4 linked regions of the Drosophila melanogaster genome follow. The protein of the gene in region 2 interacts with the protein of the main gene of each other region in a pairwise test. Each region holds a gene or a part of one and is shown on either strand. Other genes may lie near its edges. The genes, in order: CG3857, toy, cdm and Ccn.

Region 1 (4,689 bases), on a different chromosome or scaffold from region 2:
GAGAAAAAAAAAAAATTTTCCCACAAGCCGTACCGCCGCAGTGGGTTGATCGTGTTTTAATTATGTTATAGGTATCGTACAACTTTTGCGCTCGGCATGGGCGACGTGGCGTCCTCCGGTAGCGGGTCGTTGTTTTATTAATTTAAATTAGGTCTTGGCGCAACATAGGTTTACATTTTTATTTTAGAAATTTTACACCTTTTATTGAATTATGCAATATTTGTTGCGCCCCGGGATGGGCGTAGTTCCCCCCGGCAGCGGGTAATTGCTATTTTATCATTTTATACACAGCTCACGCAGCACTTCTTTTTCATTTATGGATTTCAGATCTTAATCTGACTTATGCACACCACCACTATTTTTACGCACAAATTTCCACAATTTTTTCGTATCACTTTTATCGGCCGGACATTGCCGGTCCCTGTTCGGGCGCCAGTTAACGCAAGTTCCACTTGCATCAGGGTTCTCGGCACTCGCTGCCGCATACCTCACCTTGATATGACAACCAACATGCTGTGGTTCTCCAAATAATAGTCAAGATAGTTAAGAGGGTTCGAGTTTACGATTAGCTTTATTTTAAGATTCAGTTCGCGATCTGCTAGCGGTTCCGTTATGTGTCCGTTCGAGACTGGGCCTCTTCTCCCGCCCCGCTGCTTTTATATCCGCTTCCCCCGTTGACCCCTCACCCTGAGTGCGACCAACGGCACTTGTTCCGAATGCACACATACACAAACATGTTCCTAGACAGGCCCCGAGTCGCCTGCTGACGGGGCCCGAAAACACGAGAGCCGAGCGCTGGTGAGTCCTGACGAAGATCGCAAGAAGAGGGTTCGTAACTTACACGAACATGTTACTAGACAGGCCCCGAGTCGCCTGCTGACGGGGCCCGAAAACACGAGAGCCGAGCGCTGGTGAGTCCTGACGAAGAGCGCAAGAAGAGGGTTCTTAACTTTAATAATCGGCTGATAAAAATGGATAATCGTTAAGCCTAAACTCCAAAATGTAAATACTATTCTTTGTAAATGCTATACAATTATTTTTGAAGTCTTTTATTAATTAGGGATATGTCTGTAAAACAATATGTATATCAGTCACTATCTCAACTTCTGATTCATATGTTAACTTTAAACACCTCCTTTAAAAAAAAGACTTGATGTCGGTCGGTATTCAGCTAAACATATTGGCCATAACACTGCACGTGTCATTAATAAAAGGATAGGTAAACATTGCCACTGGAACTTGAATCACTTGAATGATTCAGGACTGCGTATCCCAGTCCAAGCCGCTTCACCCACTTGCATAGTTTTATACCAACCGCGTACTTACAATCTGTGGATCAGCTTTCGGCATTGGAAGAGAACGTGCGCCAATTGTCCGATCGCCACTGGCAGCGTGTGTCCAGGTGGCGCAACTTGATCTCTGCGTAGATCTTTTCGAAATGAGGAGCCGCCTTGCGAGCACTTTCGGCCAGGATCTCAAACCAGATGGCCTCACTGAGTTCGGTGCTGGTGTGGCACATAGAGATGCGCGTGCATCCGAGGATACGTTCTCGGAACTGACGCACCAGTTCGCCGAGGCAGGAATGGAAAGCGGTGGCTTTGTTGCTACTCACCTCCGGCAGGAGGAAGGTGTTTAAGCACCGTGCATCGCCTCTTCCCCGGTATATGGGCAGCCCCGTCGGCCCGTATAAGTAGGCCAACTTTTTGTCCAGTCGTTCCCGCTGCTGTATCTCAAAGTCTATTCGATGGGCACGCGCGCGGACGAATACTACCTGCGGCATGTGATCCCGTACATAGCCTTTGCAATGAAGCGTCGGTCTCAGGCGAAGGGCAGCGTTTATCAGACGCAATTGTTCCAAGGCCAAGCCATCGATGACTAAAATTAATATATGGCATACACTCAACAGTTGCGCCATGGTGCCCAGGGAGTAAAGATCCTGGTGATCCGAGTCCTTGCCTACAGGCATTAACGGTGGTGTGTCCAGCAGTATGTGACGTTCCCGGGTGATAAAAAACTGCAGGGTTTCCGTGCGAGGACGCAAAATGCTCTTCTGCCCATTGTTCGGCTTCAACTTGTGACGCGTGGCAAAGATGCATTCATCCGCCTCTGGAGAGAATAGATGTTGATAGTAGTCGTAGTCCAGGGACCGCTCTGCGGCCAGAAGATTGAGCAGCGTGCTTTTTCCGGAACTCTGACCACCCAGGACCCCGATTACGGTGAAGTCCGTATTGGTTTTGTGGAAGAGCTTGCGGGCATTGGCATTAAAAATACCATTGGCCACGATTAGGGGTGTGGGACGGTTCATGCGTGGCGGCTGCAGCTCCTGGAGAGCATTCGGTGCTCCGGCCGAGGTGCCAGCTGTTCCGGCACCACCACTGCAGCTCCCCTTGTCCCTGCTAGTTGGTACCGAGCTAACCAATGCGGCGCAAACGGAGCTGGATGGCACGGCGGACAATTGCCCGCTTCCCTGGACAAGAGCACCTCCGGCCAAAGGCATCTGGCATCTGTCTGCAGGCCGCACCTCACCCGTACGATTGACGATCATCGTTTTGAGGGCCGGCGGTGTATCGGGGTAACAACTGGGACTTGGCTCCGCCTCCCTGTCCCTCTCCAGCTTCCTATCCTTGTCCCGCTCTCTGTCCCAGGTCTCTTGCTCCCGATCGCGATCCTTCTTTAGCAGAATTTTTGGCTGCATCATGCGGGCGGCGTCCTCGCGCCGGGCGATGGTCACGGGTGCCAGGAGGCCGGAGCAGGCTTCATCCCGCTTTTTGTTACGGAAACGACGACGGGGATCAGCCATTCGGAAGCCGGTTATTTGGGGTTTATATTTGACTAAATTTAAATCGGTTTGAACACGTTCGTGGGTGTCAACGCTAATACATTGTTTCGCAGCACTGGTATGTACATAACCATCGCAGATGTCGTGGAAATATAGCTAAAAAGCGAAAAATACGAAATTAAGGACAACATTTTTAATTTCAGACGCAACAATCGGCTGGCCCAACAAATAACGGTACACAAGATTATCCACTTTTTTTTATCACAATTGCACTGGACTTATAGCCAAATATTTTTAATCATGAGAAGTGAAAGGCAAGCACATATCTAAATCTAGCTCGAAACCAGATGGATGCTCATCTTGCACACTGTCACCAGTGTTGGTAACCGAGTGCATTGTGAGCGGAACGTTCCGACACCTACTTTGTTTATTTATTGTTATTAATTAGGAAGCATGCCCCTCGTGGTGATTACGGGCCTGCCAGCCAGCGGAAAGAGCACACGTGCCCGCCAGCTACGGGATCATTTCGTGGAGCGCGGCAGGAAGGTGCATCTAATCAGCGAAAACGAGGCAGTGCCCAAGGCGGGTTTTGGAAAGAATTCCCATACAGGTGATTCGCAGAAGGAGAAGGTGGTACGTAGCGATCTTAAGTCGGAAGCCTCGCGTCACCTTAACCAGGAGGATCTGGTCATCTTGGACGCCGGGAACTACATCAAAGGTGAGCTCTCACCAAGGTTCAGCTAAGGTTCGTAAACCACAACCAAAATTTCTTCCAGGCTACCGCTACGAATTGTACTGCATGTCCAAGGTGTCAAGGACCACCCAGTGCACTGTGTTTACCTGCATACCCCAGGAGGAGGCGTGGACCTTTAATAGCCAAAGAACGGCGCCGGATGAACTGCCTGGCGACAGTGAAAGAGTTCAGCCGGTGGACAACTCGGATGTTCCCTACACCAGAGAGACTTTTGATGCTCTGTGCCAGCGCTACGAGGAGCCGCAGAGCAACAACCGTTGGGACAGTCCGCTGGTGGTAGTCTTGCCCAAGGACACGCTCGACATGGAGGCCATCTACAAGGCCTTGTACGAGTCCCAGCCACTGCCACCCAACCAGAGTACTTATAATGTAAGCGTAGAGCTTGGCCAGAGTTGAAGACAAAATATCACAAGTAACTGCTTTGTCCATTCCGCAGGCACCGCTGGGAACAACCAACTACCTGTTCGAACTGGACAAAATCGTGCAGGCGATCATCAAGGAGATCCTCGGCGCCGTCAAGATCAAGGCCTTCGGCCAGCTGCGCATCCCAGGGAGCAGAAATCCCGTGAAGGTCGCCACTTCGATGAATGCCCTCCAGCTGAACCGCCTGCGCCAGAAGTTCATCACGAGCACGTGCCACGCCAGCCAGACGTCACCCACTCCGCTGGAGCAGGTGCCGCACTTGTTCGTGCAGTTCATCAATGCCAACACGATCGGCTGCTAGCACTGTGATTGCGACAAGACAAATGCTAAAATAAAGTTCTTACCTCGGGCAGCAGGATAATGTTTTTGGGCTGATGTTGACACAATTTAATGTGGAAATCAAATAAAATATGTAGCTTAAATACTAATATGAAAATCGTTTTTGATTATTATTATCACTATGGATTAATTAAGTTGACTCTTCTGGGTTCTTGTGGCGTACTTAATTGCAGTGCATTTTCTGCTTATTTATTATTTCGTAAGGAAAACAATACATTTTTGTTTGTTCAAAGTGAGTTCAAAACTACATGAAATCAATAAAAAAAAATTTACGTATTTCCATTTGAATTTAAAAAATATTTTCCTTCGCCTATAAAATCTACTCTACTTACAGCGAAAAAAGTTCAGTGAACGAACTTTTCTCTTGCGCAGCGGGAACGAAGAGAACCCTCTC
Region 2 (4,640 bases):
TCTCTAATCTATATGCCTAATCTCAACCTGTTAGCTTATATATTTCCTGAGATTTCGACGTTAATACGGACGGATAGGGCTAGATCGACTCGGCTAGTGGCCCTGACCAAGAATACAGATACTTTATGTAGGCGCTTCCTTCTGACATTCTATTTTACACATTGATAAAGATATTGAAATTAAAAAAACATCAAACAAAATGTAGGCTTTAGAGTAGACGTGGCTAAATTATTGTTTAGCATATCGATAGAGACTCTACTAGTAAGTAGGTACGCAAGAAAAATCAAATATCATGAGTGCAAAATTTAATGGTTATATGCATTTGTTGCAGCCCAGACACTACGCTAAATAATATAAATTAAGGTATTTTCACACATTCCAGGAAAATCAGATTCGTCACCTTTACAATGCGCCATGAAATTTTTGGCACACGCAATAGGAATGACAAAAAGGCGATTCAAGAATATGCCCCTTTGAAGAAGCCCAGCACACTGGATGCCGGCACTACAATAATGGAAATTGTGGTGGAAGGGGAAATAGATTCGTTGATGCGTGTGACTTCAAAAATCCAAAAAACGTGTCGGACAGGATGTTGAGAGCAAGTAAGCTCAGTGGTGGCTTTTTGGGGTGGTTTAGGTTTTGAATGCTGTTACTTGGGGGTTTAATTTCTGTAAATAATAGATATCGAAAATGTAAATACAAGCAGAAGTAGCAGAACAGACAATTTATGTATTTACATATTTAATATTTTGTATAGATATACAACAAAAAATTTACAAATACTAAATACTCTTTAAAGTTAACAATACAAACTTCATCTCAAGCCCAAGTCACGCAGATCACGCTACAGGTAAGGCAAGGCATTTTGAACTCCTGATACTGTTTGACCTTCCTGAATACGTTTTTATTGCTGTTCAATTTTAAATTTAAATTAAAACTAATAAAATGCACTCATAGTTTTTATATGTGAATGTATTTTTGTATATTAACACAACCGACATCAGAAATATAATAATACTTAACGTAAAGATGGGGAATTGATACAGGGCAATAAATAACTAGTCGTTCTATACTTTTTTAAAACAAAGGTATGGCAAACGATTAGATTGTATGTTATTCAGAATGATCAGATTCTTAAACTTTTGGATACATGGTTATATAATCAAATATTTTAGGGATTAAGTGCATTAAACATGATAAAATATCATCACAACCAAACATATGCATACAATGATGAATAAGACTTACACATATACACAACCATCTATGTTTATATAAATTCAGTTTTATTTTCCAGCGTTATTATCGCTGAATCCATAATGTTAAAGTTGCCCACGATATATTTAACAACCAACCAAAACTTCAAAAAGATTTTCAAGCGGATAGGGTACACTTTTCTTTCTTCCATAGCCGTCTCTTTCCTACGCAACTCCTATTTGCCAGATGTGCGCACGATGGATTTTGTTGTAATGCCTCTCTTCCTCATGTCTCTATAGCTATCTCTTTTCACGGCACGGAAAACAGCAACGTTGTTAGCTATCGCTGACTGCAAATGAAAAGAGACAACTAGAGCAACGCCGCCAAAATGGCTGGCCGATGTGTTAGCCGTTGCTCTTGCCAGTGTTTTTTCGCATGAGAGCTCATTAACGTTTCGCTTGGCTAAGTGCGCACCTCGTCACTGAAACCAGTTAGCAAAAGAAATTTTTGTTCAAGCTTAAACCGATACCTACGTCACTATTCGATCATTTTGAATGCAAATTATTCCCAGATTAATAAACTAGGTCGCCATCCGTGGCGCTGCCGCCGGGCTGCGGACCCGTACTTTCGACGGAAAATATCGGGACCATTTTCATAAACGATCTATGATACAGTTTTAAAACACTTTAACGCTTTCCATCGTGCACACTTAAAACAAAACTCATAAAGTGAAAGTTCATATCCTGGCAAGTAAAAAGTGATAAATGTTAAAACGTCTGAAGTGATAGTCTGGAGTTTGATTACCAGGTGAAGAAGATAATATATATGGGATGTACAAAGTTGGCAACGAAGCCCCCCTTCTAACAACAATGAAAAAGGGAGTAATCCTACTTTCTCACTTTCAATAATAAACATACGCACGTCAGCCACCGTCGAAGTCTCCAACGCCGCATTAAAAATAATTAATTATGATGCTAACAACTGAACACATAATGCATGGGCATCCCCACTCGTCAGTCGGGCAGAGTACTCTATTTGGGTGCTCCACGGCGGGCCATAGCGGAATAAATCAGCTGGGCGGCGTATATGTTAATGGCCGGCCACTGCCCGATTCAACGCGTCAAAAAATTGTCGAATTGGCTCATTCCGGCGCACGTCCTTGTGATATTTCAAGAATACTACAAGTGTCCAACGGTTGCGTAAGCAAAATTTTGGGCAGGTGAGGCATTTCGAGTGCATAATGACATTTTCTTAACTAAACAGGAACTACGAAAGTAGCCTCCAACAAACAAACTGCTCAGCTAAAATTTCTGACTTCGGACTTTATTATATAAGCACTGCGTTTAAACCAGGGAGTGATATTAAATTTGGAAAATATGAAAGATTCGATTATTATACCCGTTACTCAAAGAGTCAAAAGGTATATTAGATTTGTTGAAAAGTATGCAACAGGAAGAAGGATGCGTTCCCGACCATATGAAGTATGTATATATTCCGTCTGTCCGTATGAATGTCTCGATCTCAGGAACTATAAAAGCTAGATGGTTGGAATTAGGCATACTGATTGTAGAGATATGGACGTAGCGCAAGTTTGTTGACCCATATTGCCAACACTTTTAAAAAAAGTGTTGATTTTTAATCGTTTTATTGTTTGTCTTCTATCGGTATACCAAAAACACTTTCGCCACACCCCTTCTTACACCAACAAAACGCAAAAAACGGATCCCAGAAAAATAACACAATTTTGCTTTCGTATTTAGTCGTATAGTCGGGGAATTCGACTATAGCATTCTCTCTGTTTTTGGTAAGTTAATGGCCTTACTAACGTTTCAGTAGTTTCTATATGCATAAGATCCGAATGCCTCCTAGTCTATTTCGTATCAACTAACCAATGATCGTAAGACTGCGTATGATTAAAGAGAACTTGCTTAGCATCTGTTTTGCGAGTAGCCAAATTTGTTTGTTGGAAGAACCTCTTTACGGCGTTATTGGTGTCCGTATTGCAAGTGCTGTCCATTGTACAACACTAACAAATACATTTCTCCCCTGGCTTCTAATTAATACTTATGTTATTTTGTTTAGCATATATTCTATATTCAATCCTATATGCCATTCGCAAAATATTTATATACCGGCTGCATTTAACTAATTTAATGTCTACAACTGAAAGTGTTGACTGTTGACGCTGAGGTTTGCTTATAGTTTTTATTATCTCGACGCTAAACATTTCGACGGCGTTTAGCATTGTCACCACTAATGAATCGCTGCGCTTTTCTTTTTACAAGTTGCAGCTCGCATTTACAAGCACTGCACTCCGAATTGTTTTTTTGTGCTCATCTAACATTTTGGAAAGAGGATTTTTCAATCAATACTAGAGGAATGTCCTTTTTTACTTTACTATAAGCACTGCTCTTCCCGAGAATATTTACGGCTTTCGACTACTAAGTTACATAATTGGAACTAATCAGATATTAGCAGTTCTATTATAAATACTTTAGAGTAAGAAAATCAATGATTTTCGTAATATGAAAATTTGAAATCAGGCCCCCATCCCAATCTCTCATTGTGTGACTCTGATTATTGAAACACATTCACCATTTATGATCATAATACATAAAAATCAAAATCATATCTTAAGAAGAACGTATTTTTAAATTCTCTGTTCTTTGCAAAATAAGAAAATATACAGCCAAATCTAAATTGATTGTATATTCATTGTTTATTCTATTATCTACTTTTAATGACTACTCAGATAAAATGTAAATAAGTTTATTTTTTTTAGATATTATGAAACTGGATCGATAAAACCTCGAGCTATAGGTGGTTCAAAGCCACGAGTAGCTACAACCCCGGTTGTGCAAAAAATTGCAGATTACAAACGGGAATGTCCCAGCATATTTGCGTGGGAAATACGAGATCGACTGCTATCGGAACAAGTTTGCAATAGTGATAACATTCCAAGTGTAAGTTATATTTTGCGCACATAATAATATTTCTGCACGTGCTAATAAAAGTTCTAACATACCATTTTAAGCGTTTTCGATCCTTAAAAATATATATGTATATTCATGATCAGGATCTAGGACCAGTCCGTACCTCTCTTTCTGTCTTACGTTAAAAATTTTAGAAGTTTAAAGCTGAAAGATTGTTTCAAACTAACTTTCTAATAGAGCCTTATAGCTTTAAGCTATTTATAGTTGTTTTCCTGTTCTCTTAAAAACTCTGATCTGACTAATAAAAGTTCTAACATACCATTTTAAGCGTTTTCGATCCTTAAAAATATATATGTATATTCATGATCAGGATGGATCTAGGACCAGTCTGTACCTCTCTTTCTGTCTTAAGTTAAAAATTTTAGAAGTTTAAAGCTGGAAGATTGTTTCAAACGAATTTTCTAATAGAGCCTTATAGCTTTAAGCTATTTATAGTTGTTTTCCTGTTCT
Region 3 (6,534 bases), on a different chromosome or scaffold from region 2:
GCCCGCACATATTTTACAATTGTGGCTTATAAATGGAGCTATAATAATTGAAGCTTAAATTTAATAAATACATATTTTCATTTCTCAATCCCATACAGATGCCGGAAATGTTCGAGCTCCACAATAATGCGACCATTGGTGAATTGAAGCAAAAACTGGAGGTAAAAGTAGGTCTTCCCTTGGCTCGCCTAAACGTACAGAGTTTTCACAAGTCTCTGGAAAACGATGAGTTTATTACAAATTTGCTCAGAATTCCGGATAAAAGCGATTATACTTATCCGTCGACAACGCTTAATGGTACAGCCTTTTCGCTGTACCACGAAAATTCCTTTGTAGGATTTCTCCAATTCTATACAATTCCAGAGGGCAAGAGCCAACTGGATTTCCTTAACATGCCGAAGAGCTCTATGCTTCTGCCAGTGGACAGGCTTCCGCAGTTTTGCGAGGCTTCGAACTCGCAAGATTCCTCCGCATCCAGTGCGTCGAACCAGACGAACGCCAGCTTCGAATCCGCAAGCACGAGCGCCAGCTCCGTAGCGCGAAAGACGAGAGTGTGCGCCTCCGATGAGGAATCGGCTGCCAAAAGGTGTGTGTTGTGTGTAATAACTATATATGTAAATGATAGGGATACCCAACTGATTCATTCACAGAATACGAAGCAACCAAGAGAACAGCGTGGTCAAGGTGGTTCCGCAGCAGAATCTGCTCGCGGACAAACGAGCCGGCAGCATGGCTTCCATATTTGGTTCGAAGATCCACCTGATGAACTGCTGCAAGACGGAGACCAGCCGCACAAGCTGCTCAGTGGAGCAGGCCGAGGAGTGCAAGGAGAGGAAGAAGGACTGCTGCACGCCAAAGAATTGTCGCAAGAGGGATACTCGGCCGCCGTATGCGAACACAATGCCCGAGAACCGACGTTACGCCTTGGTGATAACTAACCAGAGTTCGTGCTCGGATGGTGTGGACACTATCGCCCTAATGGAGCACTTTCATTCAATATTCGAGGACAGTGGATCGAGCGTCAGCGATCTCAATTTTAGTGAGTGTGCCTCAACGCAGACATTCGACTGCAACATGCTGGTGGTCTGCGAGGATAACGAAACGGCCCAATGGGTCATCGAAGCAGTCGAAGGTGTGGAGCCGCCCCACTCCTGCCAGCCCTTCATTAAGTTCTTCGATCTAGTGAGGACGACCTTTGTCCTGCCCTTGGTCAGTCCGAATAAGTCGCTCTGTGTGATCTTCGCATTACTGGAGTCACAGAACCCGGGCTTGAATACCGACAGATGGGCCGTCGTTAATCGCTCCACTTTGGACTGCCAAGACGTGGAGAGGCAGGTCGCTCAATTCTGCGACAACGTCCTTATTGAGGTGTATATCGATGAGGATAGCAGGGATTTCATCGCCGACCGGTGTTCCAAATTGCGATACTGTTTCTGGCAACTTAAATTCGATTTTATATAGGACTTTTTGGGCTTTCCAAATTCACTGTTAACTTGTTAAGATACTCCTCAATTGCAGAGAGTATTTACTAAATAGAAATAGTAAAATTTTATGAAGTGTACGAATGAATAAATGTTGTTATAAATTGAATTTTTCCTGCATATATCGAGCATATAGGCCACAAGCAATTTATACTATATTACATATTTATTTATTATTAAATACGTACATTTCAACACTTTTTATAAAAAATACAGGAGGAAAAAAAGCGCGGCAAAGTCGAAAATGGAGTGACCGCACACTCGGCCCGTCCGCGAATTGGTGACTTCGCGCGTTGGTCACACTCGCGAATCCAGTGCCCACAGGCAGAAGCAAAGAAAACCACCACCCGAGGATTAGCGGACAGGAGACTGCCTCTCGGCAGCAGCAGCATTAGCAGCAGCAGCAGCCATTCCACATGGAGCCCATTGACATTGCGCGTCTGGAGGAGGCGGTCGTGTCGTTCTACCGCTCGAACTCGCAGAACCAGGCGATCACCCATGAATGGCTTACCGATGCGGAGGCCAGTCCACAGGCCTGGCAGTTTTCCTGGCAGCTAATGCAGCTCGGCAAGGTGAGTACCACGCAGGACCTGCGCATCAATGCATCAATTACCCGGATATGTATACTCATGCACCTACCGCCCACCCAATCACCCCACCGCCCACACAGAGTCAGGAGGTGCAGTTCTTCGGCGCCATCACGCTGCACTCCAAGCTTATGAAGCACTGGCACGAAGTGCCGCCAGAGAATCGCGAGGAGTTAAAGCAAAAGATACTCGAATCCATCGTTCGCTTCGCTGGCGGACCGAAGATCGTCCTCAATCGGTTGTGCATCTCGCTGGGCGCTTACATCGTTCACATGCTGGGCGAATGGCCCGGCGCCATCGAGGAGGTGATCAACACGTTTCAGAATCAACGGATGCCAAATGTCAGCGCCGATGTGCAATTGTGGATCATGCTGGAGGTGCTGACCGCCATTCCCGAGGAAGCGCAGGTCATACATACGTCTGTCAAGCGGGTTGTTCTGCGCGCCGAGATCGCCAAGCGAGTGCAGTTGGTCATTCACACCGTTGAGCGATATCTGAAGCTGCAAATGAACCGCGTGTGGGATGCCGAGGCGTACAGTAACATGAACAGGGCCGTTAAGTGCGTCGGCACCTGGATCAAGTGAGTATTCAATTTACAAAATTATTCTTTACACGTTCTAAGTGAGTTTCCAACTTGGACAGAAACATCGGCTACACCATTGAGGGCTGCGTCACCATCACCGCCGTGCTCCTGGAAGTGGTGCACAAGTGCTATTGGCCCTGCATACACGCCGGCGACGGCTGCATGACCGCCGATGAGAACGAACTGGCCGAGTCCTGTCTGAAGACCATGGTGAACATTATCATCCAGCCAGACTGCCACAACTATCCAAAGACGGCATTTGTGCTTATAAAAATGTTCCTGGACTCGCTATCCGAAATCACAAAGACGGAATGGAAGAGGGAGAACGACAACGAGGACATTATCGTACATATCTACATGCTGTTCGTCTCTTCGGTGGAGCGACATTCGACGCTGTTGCTCAGCGGCATCACGTCCGCGGATCCGGAATTGTCTATCCTAGTGCATCGCATCGTGCAGGAGATTCTCCACTGCACGGACAAGCCGGGCATTTACCCGGTGGAGGAGTCCTGCAGCACAATGGCCTTGGCGTTTTGGTATATGCTGCAAGACGAAGTGTTCGCCATGTCTAACGATGAGCAGAAACACAAGTGCTGGGAGTACATCAAACCATTGTACGCCCATCTAACCAGGATTTTAGTAAGAAAGTCAGAGCAGCCAGACGAAAAGTCGCTCGCCAAGTGGAGCTCCGATGATTTGGAATGCTTTAGGTGCTACAGACAGGATATATCCGATACCTTTGTGAGTGGTTGCAACAGTTGGAGTGTCTCCAAATCGAAAGGATTGGCTACCGTTTTCAACTATTAACAAACAGGCATAATATAGCATTTATTTTATTTATTTTAGATGTATTGCTATGATGTGTTGAATGACTATATCTTGGAGATTCTGGCTGCCATGTTGGACGAGGCCATTGCCGATCTGCAAAGACATCCCACACACTGGACAAAGCTGGAGGCGTGCATCTATTCCTTTCAGTCGGTGGCCGAGCACTTTGGTGGCGAGGAGAAGCGGCAAATACCACGGCTGATGCGCGTGCTGGCCGAGATTCCCTACGAGAAGCTCAATGTCAAGCTACTGGGCACTGCGCTAGAGACAATGGGCTCCTATTGCAATTGGCTGATGGAGAATCCGGCGTACATTCCGCCAGCCATTAACCTACTGGTGCGCGGCCTCAACTCCTCAATGTCAGCACAGGCGACGCTCGGCCTGAAGGAGCTGTGTCGCGATTGTCAGCTGCAGCTGAAGCCGTATGCGGATCCGCTCCTAAACGCATGCCACGCTTCCCTAAACACGGGCCGCATGAAGAACTCCGATTCGGTGAGGCTTATGTTCAGCATCGGTAAGCTAATGAGCCTGCTGCGGCCAGAGGAAATACCCAAATACTTGGATATTATCGTCAGTCCCTGCTTCGAGGAGCTACAGGCCATTTGCCAGGCAGATTCGGTGAGTAAATATAAATATAAAATATATAAAGAGATCAGTTGCTAACCATTTCTTTTGTTGCACTAGAAAACTCCCGCTGCTCGAATTCGCACAATCTTCCGGCTCAATATGATCTCCACTCTCTTCTCCTCGCTAAACACGGATGTGGACGAGCAGGCGACGGACCAACCGATTGTGCAGCCAGTTCTGCTCGTCATGCAGCGCACGATGCCCATCTTCAAGAGAATCGCCGAGATGTGGGTGGAGGAGATCGATGTCCTAGAGGTAAGGCAATAAACACAAAATTTTGCATATTTTTAATAAAATGTTATCGTATTCATATAGGCCGCTTGCAGTGCGATGAAGCATGCGATAACGAATTTAAGGAGCAGCTTCCAGCCAATGCTGCAGGATCTTTGTCTCTTCATTGTTGCCAGCTTTCAGACCCGATGCTGCGCTCCTACTCTAGAAATATCCAAAACGGTGAGCCTTACCAATATATTGCAAATGACTGAGTGATCTAATAGAATCCTTTGTTTCAGGCCATTGTTATGTTCTTTAAGGACGAAGGCTGCAAGCCGCTGATGCAGCAACTTCTGAGGGAGTTCATCCAACACAGCTTTAAGCTATTTGAGAGCACTCCCGAGCAGAACTTCTCCAACATTTCGGACACCATGGAAACCTTCTTCGGCTGTCTGACGCAGATCATTAAGAAAATCCCTCAAGTTTTGGAGGACAAGACACTGGCCTACGATCGTCTGGTCTTTTACGCCCAGCGTGGAATGACTTTGCCGGAGAGTGGTGCCATCCGAAATAGCATACAGTTTCTTACCCACTTTGTGATGCAGTCGCGTAACCATGCTCATGTCACAGAAGTTGTCCTGGCCACCGGCGAGCAGACGCTGTACACGGCGATGATGTGCGTGGGCTACCTAACGCCGCGGTCGCAGGTGGATAAGTTTGCAGACATCCTTCTTGCCATGAACAGAAAATATGCCGCCGAGATGGCCGTCTGGATGAAGTCCCTAATGTCCACTCCCAATTTCCCCACACAGCTCATAACCGACGCGGATAAAACGCGCTACACTGCTCTAATAATCAAGTGAGAGGCGTTACTTATATATAGATCCTTAAAGATTGTATTAATTTTATAAATTTTTTCACAGGGAAAAGGTCAACAAGAGGTTATTGCAACAACATTTGTCGGAAATGGCAATGAAGACCCGAGGACTTACAGAAAAGTTCCAGTGAAATGAGTGTATGCAATAAGTGGCCAAATGACATCTTTATCCATCCGGATTTTGATCTAGTTTCTATAATTGTATTTAGTTTGTATTTAAATAGGCCGTCAGCTCTGTAAATTGTCTCCAATTTTAACTTAAGTTCAAAAGTTCTCGACTTGATAAACTTTTATTTATAATTTTTACAAAATTACATGCTCCATTTACAATTTGCACATATATATTGTTTTAAGGGTGTATAACTCATTTTTCATTTATTGTTTTCACTTTTAGTAAATGTTTTATAGTTTTTGTTTTTCCCATATATATATATATGTTTAATTCTTATGTTGAAAAGTTTGATTTTCACCGTTTCCTGTATGAAAAAATCTGCCTTTCTAAGAATTACTTTCCCTTTACCTCTCCACCCATATTATTGTTTTGCAATTTTCCACATTGTGTATGTATCTATAATGCCAAAAATATGTAAATACATCTCTTTATATAATATATATATATATATATATATTTGTGTCTATAGCTAAACTGAAGCCTTTCGTTTTTGGCGTGTACAGCACTTGGTAGTGGTAGCAAAACTCTTTTGATCTGCTTCGTCGCCTTTGTCTAGATTCTAGATTAGTTGAGAGTATCTGCATAAATCCTTGTCTAACGGACCCGGTAATGACTTGACTATGGAACTAAACGACTGGTTGACACGGATCCAAAATTACAGTTTAACATATAGATATAGATTAACGTATAGAAGTAGACGCTACGACCAGCAATTTGTCCCAGTCTGTTGTGGTGACGTTGTAAGGATGCTTATAGGTTATCAACTGTGCTTGGTGGACCAGAAATTGGCACATCTCTATTCCTTGGCGGTCCGCAGGATCATCCACGGCCAGTCCAGGACAAACAAAAATGCCTAATTCCTTTTGATCGGTGTTCAGGAACACGGTTCTCCGCACATATATATATATATATATTTCTATATTTAATAGGTAGTACATACAAAAATACACTCACGCACATACATACCACAATTTATGTGTCCTGCTGGGCGATTTGTTTCATATAAATATATTATGGGTATGCTGCTCTAACTGCTAGGCTAAATAGCGTACAATATTTGCAAATTTGAGTCGTGGAGTAGTAAACATGTTTTATATAGTATGTGTGTATAATAGTGGCATGTGGCATGAATGTCTGGATGTCATATAGCTATCTATGTATGCATG
Region 4 (4,740 bases), on a different chromosome or scaffold from region 2:
GACAATCGGCGGACACATTTTGCCACACCGTTCGCCCCTGGGCGATGCGGATTTTTCCGCTGCTTTGATTTTGAATAGCTCACTTACTTAATAAAAGCGCGAGTAAAAAACGCCCTCCCACCCCAGTCTTTGTTTTCTAGATACCCCCACAGTCTGTGCTAATGCTGTGCAAATTCAAGTTCGTATTCTTGAGGATTCCGCTTTACGACCCTCGCTCAGATCAGATCATAATACTTGGCGTGGTATAATTCACAGCTTAAAGTGGCTCATGAAAAATAAGTGAAAAGTCGGGGATTTAAATTGGCAGTTGTTGTAGAATACTCTACCAATTTATTCCGATAAATACAATCAGCATGTTACTCAAATTTCTATTTCAACAACATCTTATTAGGAGGTCTCGTTTTGAAAAAGAATTGTCTCCTGCTATTCTCGTTCATCTTGTTAAATTCCAGAAATTTATTTCGCGTGCCCCAGTAAAGCACACTTAACTTTGTGCCCCCGTCCTCGATCAAGTGTTGTTTATTACGGCTACAGTATTTTTCAGATCCTTCGACGGGGAGAGCATGCCAACGCAAATCTACCTTGAGAAAGCAACAATCAGTCCCCCAAGGCCGCAACAACAAGGCAAAAAGTTGGCAAGTAAATTTATTTATTGAGTCACTTACTTGGCAAGAAATCTCCTTGCCTTCCCAACATGGAATGCGTGTGTGTTTGGCTTGAATTTATGTGTGTTTTGGCTGCCGACTTTCACTTGGCTTTCCACACATTCGCCTGGTAATTGTATTAAATTTCAATTAATATAATATGTGCCTAGGGTGCGGAGGAGTTCATTTGAAAAGTATTTGGTTTATGAAGCTTATCATTTTCATAACTTCTCGAGTTCAATTTGCGGAATGGCTTAATATAAATTTTATGATATGCTATCAAACATTCTGTTTTCAAATCAAAAGCATAATACATCATTTCACAACAAATACAACAAATACAAATAATACAACAAATCACTACCATACAAAATTAATCTAGTCATCTGTTTCTATATTTTGAGTATTAAGTTGCTTATTTAATCGAGTATTTCAATGTTTTCTTACTTGATTCAAATTCTGGATGGTTATTTTTCATCGAAACGCTTCGTAAAGGTTTCTTATTTTTTACGGCCATCGAAGCGAACTTTGTCTTGGCTTTATTGTTGCTACTGTTGTTTTGGGGAATATTCCAATTTTGTTGGTCATAAATTTTAGCGAGACTGGCAAATGAAAAGCACAGCGTAAAAGAAAATATTTAAATTTCCTCGGTTTCCCAATTTTTTTTTTTGTACATTTTTGGCAGCCCTTTTTTCCAGTTCGGTTGAAGGGAGCGGGAGTTCTGTGAGAAAAAATCTGCTTAAATGTACTTCCGTCATAAAATAACGGTAATGCACAGCAATGTGCGTCTGTGGGTGTGGGCATGTATGTTGTGTGTGTGTGTGTGTTGGTGTGTTTGTGTGTGCATGGCTCACGTAGCAGGACGAGCAAGAAAAACCTTTTTATAAATGTTGGTTCGCAGCTTCCGCAAAATAATAAAACAAAAAGGCAGCTGCCAGGACATCCCCCGTCCAAAGGCAACTGGAAAGAATGCTTTTAAATTTGACACACACACCGCACACACACACACACAAGCACGCACTTGGCGAAAAAAAAAATTAATAAATTTTGTGCAACAAAGTTGCCTCTAAGGCACCGATTCGCAACCGACCATGAACCCACTTCCCCGCGTTGCTCACTTCGGTTTCAATTTTTTTGTTCTGTTTTTATCCTTTTTTGTGTTCTCTGTTTGTTTTGATGGCCCAAAACTCGGTGCGGCAACATTTGTTTGAAGTTTATTTTGCATATGTTTATTTTTGTTTACGCAATGTTATTCCCCTTTGTATTATGTCCTTTTTTTCTGTTTGCTGCAGTGTCAATTGTCGCATTGGCATGCGAAACTTTTTTTCGATGGGTAATTTAAAAAAATATACCGCATTTTTATTTTTATCAAGAGAAATACATCATTTACCGCAATATAATAACAAAAGAAACTATTTATCTCATACTCTACTCATACCACCACAAACTTGGCTAAAAAAAAAATTAAATGCCTCACATTAATGCAAATATTTAACACTTAACACTCCCATTAACTTTTAATTGGAAGCTTATCGCTTTAATATGGTAGCTTTTAAAACAATAAAACAATGACGTTCGTTTAAAATTACTTCCACACTTGTGCTTCAAATTTTTTTAGGGTTATATATTACCTATTAATCGATGCTTGCTCAATGCACGAACTAATTAAAATTGTCCAACGTAGAAACAAATAATCAGCACAAAATTCGTTCAACTAAAAACAATAGATATTTGCTAGTGCATTGAACCTCCATTTTTGCCACATTATGTAGATTTATTTGAAGCCAATGGCACAAACGTCAAAATAAACGCATTAACACTGCGGTCAGTGTTGATTAAACTTGTATTTTTAGCAATATTATAATAAAATATTCAACAATAAGTATACCATTTGACATACCTTAAATTAGCCGGACTTTCTGCCCACACTTTTGATTTATCGAGGGGGTTCAGAGACCCCTGGCAGTGGCAATTGACCACTTCACTGGCTGCTCGTGTATTTGTTTTTCTACTTCTAGGTACTTTTTTTTATTATTTTCCTTGTAGATACGCCCGCAACACACGTCAATTAACCTACTTTCGTGCTGGCAGGAGGGCTGGGCAAAAAACCCCAAACATAATATAACCACTAGAACAATACTCGCAATACAACGAATGGGCCAAGTTAATTTGCTTAGACTTTTGTTTTGGTTTCTATCTTTTTTTATTCGCCTTTTGTCGTTTCGATTGCTCAAAGTATTTCCGGCAACACACGTACACACACCCACGAGGGACACTTTAGCCGGCTTTTTTGCCTTCTTGCGCCAAAATCCAATAAAACAGTCTTAGAAGACCAGGTGATATCGCTCATACGACGCGTGTGCCGTGCAGCACGAACGAGTGACAAAAACGAACTGAAACTGAGGACGGAGGACTGAATTCAAATCGGAGTCCAAGTTGGCTGACCAACTGCGCATGCGTCACTTTTAGTCAATGAAAAGCTTCGTGCCACAAGACATTTGCCGCCAACAGGACTCCGAAAATGGCACTCGTTTTCGGAGTAGTCTGTTGCTGATGTTGCTTTTGGTGTTGCTGTTATTGCTGTTGCTTTAGGTGTTGCTGCTGTTCCTGTGGTTGTTGTCGTTGTCAGCGGCAACATAATCATCGGCGCGTGTTGCTCACTTTGTTGGCAGACGACTCGCAAACCGAAAACACAGCCAACAGAACGCACAACAGCAATCCTGGCGCACAATTCGCGCAACGTCATGTCAACGAGACAGTCGAGACAAATGCCACAGATCCCCTGCCAAAAGGACACCCCTCTTCGAATCCTTGAACCATTTTCAGGCCCACCCATTGTCAATTGTCTTGTGGGCTTAATGCTTCTTTGCCTCTGTGTTTTCCCTTTTATTTCAGCGCTGTCTGTTTAATTTCTTTTATCAACAAGCCGAGGTCTGCAGGCTTCCATCCTTCGTGTCCTTCGTGATATCCTCTTGTTGCGTCGCCCACACTCAATTGCTTATCAACTATCGGTGCATGCAGACGGCCTTTTGTAATCGCCAGCTTATTTGATTTATTGCCCTCGCTTTTGATTACAAATACATATGTGCTTAAGTTAATTGAGACTATACCACTTTTAAATTTTTGCTTCTTTTCTGCTTACTTTTTCATTGGCCAACATTATGTTCAAGGAACTATTGCATATTATAGATAATAGGGCGAATGGTTCACTGAAACATGCTCTTAAACCTCGCTGACCTCTCGCAATGGTCTTAAGCTTCGTATCTGGTCAGGTAAAGCCCTTGTAATCGCCTGTTAACTTGACATGACGATGCTTAACTGATTTATCTGTCTCATGGCTAAGACCCGGGCATTGATAGACATGATGGATGGACGAATCGATGAATGGACGTGGTCGAGGAGGGACAGGAAGTGAATTCTTGGTCCGATGAAAGATTGGCGAAGCTTTTTGCTACTTTCCAAATTAAACCGCTTAGTCGAGCGTTTAAATTTAATGCATTTGAGCTGCTTAGCCTCGTCTGCAGTTTATGTTTTTAGTCTATTTGCACACCATCCGACTGCACTTTATCGGCATCTTTACTTAGCCAAATTGCATCTTGGCCTGGTCCAGTGTACAGACTTCAATACTCTCGCATAAATTGCGGTTCTTTGTGTACAGCATTTGTGATTTAACAAGCAGGGTAAATAAATTATGCAAAAATACACACCGAATCGCAAAGAATTCGCCACTTGTTGAAAGTTCCGCCCCGGTATTGGTTGAATACAGTGTATCTCTACATTACACAATGGCATTACGGCTGATTATACTCGTGTAAGACTCGTTATTTATTATGAAAATCTGCTAGCTCAGAATTTAATTTAAAAGTTTGTGGGTTTCGTCACGGCTCAGGCAAATACAATTTGCAATTTCACAAATTTTAGAAGGGAACAAATCTTAAATACGCCACAAAATATGCCATCTTCTGACCATGGAGGACCAACAGGAGCGGCAGCTTAGATGGCGAGTGGCGTTGGGAGCCGCTTAAGCCTCCGGCCGGTCCATTTTAATCCCTTTTAAATTGATATTGTAATTGGTTTTTGTATGTAGTTATGAATT

The links.
Region 1: the proteins of toy (region 2) and CG3857 interact in a two-hybrid assay, tested with the Drosophila melanogaster proteins (one large-scale study listed by BioGRID).
Region 3: the proteins of toy (region 2) and cdm interact in a two-hybrid assay, tested with the Drosophila melanogaster proteins (one large-scale study listed by BioGRID).
Region 4: the proteins of toy (region 2) and Ccn interact in a two-hybrid assay, tested with the Drosophila melanogaster proteins (one large-scale study listed by BioGRID).

The regions. Positions count from the first base shown.
Region 1 is NC_004354.4:1,937,155-1,941,843, forward strand, and holds CG3857 (uncharacterized protein), read right to left. Parts: upstream 2,887-4,689; 5' UTR 2,801-2,886; coding exon 1,337-2,800; 3' UTR 546-1,336; downstream 1-545. Other genes in the region: CG3587 (uncharacterized protein), read left to right, coding at 3,233-3,497, 3,556-3,902, 3,970-4,257. UniProt on the Drosophila melanogaster protein: Involved in nonsense-mediated decay (NMD) of mRNAs containing premature stop codons. Probable component of kinase complex containing nonC and recruited to stalled ribosomes.
Region 2 is NC_004353.4:988,087-992,726, forward strand, and holds the start of toy (twin of eyeless), read left to right. Parts: upstream 1-1,638; 5' UTR 1,639-2,165; coding exon 2,166-2,416; intron 2,417-3,979; coding exon 3,980-4,160; intron 4,161-4,640.
Region 3 is NT_033777.3:18,178,710-18,185,243, reverse strand, and holds cdm (cadmus), read left to right. Parts: upstream 1-1,764; 5' UTR 1,765-1,897; coding exon 1,898-2,053; intron 2,054-2,151; coding exon 2,152-2,648; intron 2,649-2,710; coding exon 2,711-3,392; intron 3,393-3,497; coding exon 3,498-4,097; intron 4,098-4,163; coding exon 4,164-4,361; intron 4,362-4,421; coding exon 4,422-4,559; intron 4,560-4,618; coding exon 4,619-5,178; intron 5,179-5,194; exon of another isoform or gene 5,195-5,242; coding exon 5,243-5,327; 3' UTR 5,328-5,969; downstream 5,970-6,534. Other genes in the region: CG7208 (uncharacterized protein), read left to right, coding at 99-586, 651-1,461.
Region 4 is NT_037436.4:17,688,280-17,693,019, reverse strand, and holds the start of Ccn (Ccn), read right to left. Parts: upstream 3,006-4,740; 5' UTR 2,545-3,005; intron 1-2,544.